2 linked regions of the Saccharomyces cerevisiae S288C genome follow. The protein of the gene in region 1 purifies or fractionates together with the protein of each later gene. This does not show direct contact. Each region holds a gene or a part of one and is shown in the gene's direction. Other genes may lie near its edges.

Region 1 (3,644 bases):
GAAAACAGAGTCTTCTAAAAGTTTTACTAAAGGTTATTTTGTGTTGACTACAAATTATCTTCACGAATTCAAAAGCAGCGATTTCTTTCTAGACAGCAAGTCTCCCCGTTCAAAAAATAAACCTGTTGTTGAACAATCAGACATTAGCCGTGTGAATAAGGATGGGACTAACGCTGGCAGTCACCCATCGAGCAAAGGGACACAGGATCCGAAACTGACGAAGAGAAGAAAGGGTTTGAGTTCTTCGAATCTATATCCTATCTCTAGTTTGTCTTTAAATGATTGCTCATTAAAGGATAGTACTGACTCAACTTTTGTTTTACAAGGGTATGCTAGTTATCATTCACCAGAGGACACATGTACAAAAGAATCAAGCACGACCTCAGATTTGGCATGTCCAACAAAGACGCTTGCTTCAAATAAGGGCAAACATCAACGTACGCCTTCAGCTCTCTCGATGGTGTCCGTTCCGAAATTTCTAAAGAGTTCTTCCGTGCCCAAGGAACAAAAAAAGGCTAAAGAAGAAGCTAACATCAATAAGAAGTCAATTTGCGAGAAGCGCGTTGAATGGACGTTTAAAATATTTTCCGCAAGTCTTGAACCAACTCCAGAGGAATCAAAAAATTTCAAGAAATGGGTTCAGGACATAAAAGCGCTTACAAGTTTCAATTCTACTCAGGAGAGGTCGAACTTCATTGAAGAAAAGATTCTGAAAAGTAGAAACCATAATAATGGAAAGAGCTCTCAAAGGTCCAAAAACAGTACATATATCACTCCAGTAGACAGTTTTGTTAACCTTTCTGAAAAAGTAACGCCATCTTCCTCTGTTACCACGTTAAACACTAGGAAGAGGGCAAATCGTCCTCGTTATATAGACATCCCAAAAAGCGCAAATATGAATGCAGGCGCTATGAATTCCGTATACAGGTCAAAAGTCAATACACCAGCCATTGATGAAAATGGTAATCTGGCCATAGTGGGAGAAACGAAAAACAGTGCTCCACAAAATGGTATGAGTTACACAATTAGAACCCCTTGCAAATCGCCTTATTCACCTTATACTGGGGAAGGTATGCTTTACAACCGGTCAGCAGATAACTTAATGGCATCCTCTTCGCGAAAAGCATCGGCTCCCGGAGAGGTACCTCAAATAGCTGTTAGTAATCATGGGGATGAAGCCATTATTCCGGCAAGCGCGTATTCAGATAGTAGTCATAAATCGTCTCGTGCCTCCAGTGTTGCATCCATTCACAACCAACGGGTTGATTTTTATCCTTCGCCATTAATGAACTTACCAGGTGTTTCACCCAGTTGTCTAGCATTGGATGGTAATGCAAACGGATATTTTGGAATACCATTGAATTGCAATTCGGAAGCAAGACGAGGGTCAGATCTTTCACCTTTTGAGATGGAGTCTCCATTGTTCGAGGAAAACAGAACTCAAAACTGCAGTGGCTCTCGCAAAAGTTCAGCTTGTCATATTCCCCATCAATGTGGTCCAAGGAAAGAAGGTAATGACTCACGATTGATCTACGGCAATGAGAAGGGCGCCTCACAATCACGTCTAACGTTGAAGGAACCGCTTACATCTAAAGGTGTTGAAGCTCCTTATAGCAGTTTGAAAAAGACATATAGTGCGGAAAACGTCCCACTAACATCTACTGTATCGAATGATAAGTCTCTTCACTCGCGCAAGGAGGGAAGTACTAATACTGTACCTGCTACATCCGCGTCAAGTAAGTGACACTATGAAAACCTGTCCAATAAGACTGCACAGATGAAGAGCATGTCATTTGGTTCCTTGATAAGTGTAATAAGCAACAAGAAAGTCCTGGGTCATGTTCCTGCTGAAAATACAAACCCATTAACTACCGGAAACGAAGAAGATTAAGACAAAATGGAAAAGTTAAGTTAAACGCAATCAGTTCATATATTCTTAGATAGTTATCATGTTTTTATAAGTAAACAAAGTAGTCTTCTACCAAATAAAAATAGATTCCTGATTGGGTATTTTTCAGAAGTATCATCTGAACTTGATGTTATTTTAAAATGAAAGCCAGCGTCCATAATTATCTTTTTCTTACTTGTTTTTTACAGTGGCGGTAGGATTGGCAATGCCTGTTCATCTCCAGTTTTCCGGTCCGCTTACGACATCGGCCTTTCTATAAGACAGGTTGGCAATGCGCCACGGTACATGATGACGATAGGAGCCTTCGAATAATATTTTGTTGTGAATTCTCCTGGGAACCTCTCAAAATCAAATATGGGTTTACCTAAATCGGCATATAAGAAGTTACTCATAGATTGTCCAACGAGAGTCATTAATAAAAACTGTGCCCAACGAGTCAAAGATGTTTCTCCGCTCATTACAAACTTCGAGAAATGGTCGGATAAGCGCAAGAAGCTCTATTTCAAAGATGAAGAGGAAATGGTGGGGCAGTTCCATTTGGAAAATTTCAATTTAAAAAATAACTTATATGGTAGGCTTTTAGCTTCTCCAATGAGAGCAGAAAAAATCTCAAAATTAAAATCGTGTAGAGAATTACTAATTCCATTGAAAGTGGTACCATCAACTGGCAAAGATCAGCATGCTGATAAAGATAAACTAAAACTGGTACCTACACTAGATTATTCCAAATCATACAAAAGCTCGTACGTATTGAATTCAGCCTCCATTGTACAAGACAACTTGGCGGCTGCGACGTCATGGTTCCCAATCTCGGTATTGCAAACATCAACTCCAAAGAGCCTAGAAGTTGATTCCTCTACATTTATAACGGAATACAATGCTAACTTGCACGCATTTATAAAAGCAAGACTTTCAGTGATACCGAATGTTGGACCTTCTTCGATAAATCGTGTTTTACTCATTTGTGACAAGAGAAAAACACCCCCGATTGAAATACAAGTAGTTAGTCATGGTAAAGGGCTACCAATTACACAGTCTGTCTTTAACCTTGGTTATCTCCACGAGCCAACTCTAGAAGCTATCGTGAGTAAAGATGCAGTTACTAATGGAATTTACCTGGATGCCGACAATGACAAGGATCTCATCAAACACCTTTATAGTACATTATTGTTTCATTCAGTTAACTGATTGCGGAAGAAAAAAGGAAGGAAAGCGGGATATATCGCTGGAATTGTCTCTCTGAATTTGCCATTATTCTTATTCAATGAATACAAAACTGGCTGTCAGCGAATGGCATCATTTTGCAATCCGAAAATGAAAAATTTGGGCGCCTCGGGCAGGAGAATTCAGAACCCTTAATCCCGCACATCTACGTAAAATATCTCTGAGGTGTTCTATAGTCCATCACTTACCATCCATCTGCAAGGCTGTATGATTGATAAAGAGGAACATTAAGGGTAAATAGATTTGTTGATTTGTTTGCACTAGTGGCTTTGTATTAAAAACTTCAAGGGCATACACATGCATTATATTCAAGAGCACAACCAATAATTTACCATTATAGAAGGTACTTCTTTGAAAACTAAATCATACACTTTTTCCCACGAAAAGGCTTACATTTAAAAGCTAAGCATTCAATTTAGTTTTGCTGATCAATTTCTCGAGTAGGCTTGTCATCCATAATATCTAGTAGCTGGAGTATCCTGTTTATTGCAAGAAAAAAAATCTACAATGT
Region 2 (3,313 bases), on another chromosome or scaffold:
GGGCGCTAATTCCCACTTTTTCATAAAGCTCTGGTCTCTTGATGGGTTGCACAATAGCCATATTTAATTCAAGTCTAACTCTTTGCAATGCGCCTACATTAGCCCAAGTAACATCAGGTACCGTAGCGAACCCTTCTCTCTTTGCTGTTGGTTGAATTGTTGGCAACGCTTTCAAAAAATCTTCGTACTTAATCGATAATAATGATAACTGCTCTCCTGATAAAGGCTCAGGATAATTACGAATAAATTGTTGGACTACGGATAAAGGCAACGGATCGATCATATTCGCAGTGTTCTTCAGGCTAGATTCATCTCCGTTTGCTGTTTCATCAATTTCCATGTTATCTTCTGAACTGTCCGTTGCCGTAGTTGGTGTGGATTTTATATTAGCATAGGTTTGGAAAATTCTTTTAATAGCGCATGTACCGGCAGCAGTAACTAAAGCCTTTAAATCAGCGCCAACAAAGCCTGGGGTTAATTTTGCCAATTTGGCAAAATCGATAGCACCATCAATTTTTAGGTTATCAGACATTTTCTTTAAAATATGTAACCTTGAGACTTCATTCGGGACATTCAGGCATATTTCTCTATCGAATCTACCTGCTCTTCTCAATGCTGCATCCAAAGAGTCAGGTCTATTCGTGGCACCTATGATAATAACAGGTTTTCCATTTGTCTTTTCCATCGTTAATTCATCCATTGAGGTCAATAATTGGGCAACTATTCTTCTCTCCATTTCTCTTTGGGCTCCTCCATCACGTTTTGGTGTAATGGCATCTATTTCATCAAAGAAAACAAGACATGGTGCCAAGCTTCTCGCTTCATCAAACAAATCCCTAATCTTTTTCTCGCTTTCCCCAGACATACCACTTACGACTGAAGGTGCAGAAATAGATATAAATGGGACTTGTAATTCTCCAGCTAACGCATTAGCAATCGACGTCTTACCGCAACCCGGTGGGCCATGCAACAGAACACCTCTAGGTGGTTCGACACCCGTGGATAAAAATATCTCTGGATGAAGAATGGGTAGACCTATTAGTTCCATAAGTTGTGCAACGACATCATCCATACCACCTAAGGATTTCAGAGACGAATTAGGTGGAGATCTATCTTCCTTGATTTTTTGACGTTTTACCTTACATGTACCTTCTTTGGATCTTTTTTTAGATTTTTTAACCTCTTCTGTCTTAGGATCATCAGTTTCTGTTATAGACTCGGAAACAGATCCAGATTTGGACCACGTGCTAGTTATGCGTTTGTTCATCTCATTTGTGTCTCGCTCAATCATCATATTTTTCTTAGCTAGTTCTTCTTCCAAGCTTGGTTTCTCTTCCTCTTCGTTGTTGTAACCTGGGTAAGAACCAAATTCTTCCAATTCTGATTCAATCACGTCTTTTAGCATGCGGTCAATTGTCTTTTGTAAGACAACTTTCTTAACTCTTTGAAGTGATAAATCTTTAGTCAAACAAAAGGTAAAAATCTCACCTGCTGTTAAATCTTTAGCGAAAAACATGGATTCAAATATATCCTCATCTTCTTCACCCTCGTTGTTCTCGCCCTCTTCTCCTTGGGATTCTTGTCTCAGAGACCTTTTTCTGTCCAAAGTTTTTTCTTCCAAGAGACGATAGATAAGATCGACGATCTTGTTATCTAGAGAACTTGTTAATGAGTTCTTTTTCGACTTTACTTTAACCATTATTCCAGCCTTCCCACCACGTAGCTATTATCGGCCCTAATGATCTTTTATTCTAACTGACTCGCAGATTAATTCACACATCGGTTGTTAATCATTGTTTGAATTTCCAAAATATGCGATGAGCTGAATGAAAAATTTTGGAACCTGTCACTATCGACGAACATCGAAGTTTGCCATGACAACCATATATGAAGAAAGCTTATGAGACTAGCTCGAGTATATCATACGTATGCATGTTAATCGCAGTTAAGCGGATAACACAATGCGTAAGCCTTCTATTACGATAACAACAGCAAAAGCTATTATAACTCCAGACTATACTCTTATTAAATCGCATTCTAAATACCAACTTCCTTCACGTTTTCAAAAGCTAGATGCAGACTCACCTGAGAGAAGTACAGTTGTTAAGCTATTTTACCGCCGATTTATGAGGCTTAAGCCTTTCATATCGAATGTGAAAATGGTTAAAGATACTTACAGGGATTATGTTCGATATAAGTTTATGAAAGAAAACTACGAACTCAAACGATACTTGGTATTCAATCCTGATGGCTTGAGGTCGAAAATCAATCTTGAGCTTCTCAGCAACACGAAATGTTGTGAAAGGATACTCCCCGTGACTGAGATGCAAAGAACCTTGGAATTTGTTCTGAAGAGCTGTTCATACTTGCCCGAAACAAAAGTTCAAAAGTGGGATATTGCAAGGGACAACACATATTGCAGGCAAATTTTAAAGAACCTTTTAACAATGCAATATGAAAAGTACAGATCGATTTTGCATAGAGGAATAGGCCATGATGAGCTTGACGTCAAATTCTCTCATTTGAAAACTACTTCTAGTCCGCTAACTAAGCTAAATAAAACCGAAAAGAAAAAGATTCCGCTTTTCAAAGTATTTAGTGATTTCGATACAACATTGATATATCTCAATGAGACATTAGGTACAAGGTTATAAAGATCATTATCGTAAAAGAGGAGCGGAGCGGAGCTTTTTAGTATGTATGGTAAAATATCAATCAAATACTGTAATAGATGCGGATATGCGCAATGACATATTTTGTGGTGTGCATATCCATTGAAAAGGTGCGTAGAACGTTACAATACTACTGAACTTTTTTCCTTCTCATTTTCTGCCATTTTGATATTTATGCCTATTATTGGTTTGAGCTTTATTAGAGTTGGCATAATTATAATCGTACTCGTATGTATATCCGTATCCATACCCATATCCGTTGTAATAAGTGTTTGGTATATATCCTTTGATGGCTTGGGCTCCTCCTACCGTCGTTATAACAGGCATTTTGTGGCGTTGTGGTGAGGCTCCTGATTGGCTGGTATTATCGATGGTCGTACGACTTTTGGCATTATTCATTGATCTGAAATTGCCATTGGTATTGCTATTACTGGTGTTACTCTTGCTGGAGGCAGACCCTAGAACAAATTTTTTAATTATTTTTTTAAATATTATTTTCGTCTTTTGTGTTTCCAAATAATTGGATAGTAATTCGATTGCTTTTGTTAGAGTATTCTCATTAGTATCCTTTTCAAAAGTAAAAGTGATAAGGTCCTTCTCAAAAGTTACAATTATGTTCATAATTTGCAAAAATGGAACAA

What was found.
Region 2: the proteins of RRG8 (region 1) and IRC19 purify together in Saccharomyces cerevisiae (affinity purification with mass spectrometry, with the first as the bait; 2 studies listed by BioGRID). This does not show direct contact.

Annotation. Positions count from the first base shown.
Region 1 is NC_001148.4:756,385-760,028, forward strand, and holds RRG8 (Rrg8p), read left to right. Parts: upstream 1-2,263; coding exon 2,264-3,097; downstream 3,098-3,644. Other genes in the region: RGC1 (Rgc1p), read left to right, coding at 1-1,744; HOB2 (Hob2p), read left to right, coding at 3,641-3,644. UniProt on the Saccharomyces cerevisiae protein: Required for respiratory activity and maintenance and expression of the mitochondrial genome.
Region 2 is NC_001144.5:71,448-74,760, forward strand, and holds IRC19 (Irc19p), read left to right. Parts: upstream 1-1,961; coding exon 1,962-2,654; downstream 2,655-3,313. Other genes in the region: putative AAA family ATPase RIX7, read right to left, coding at 1-1,699; YLL032C (uncharacterized protein), read right to left, coding at 2,823-3,313. UniProt on the Saccharomyces cerevisiae protein: Involved in sporulation and maintenance of the mitochondrial DNA. Is probably involved in a pathway contributing to genomic integrity.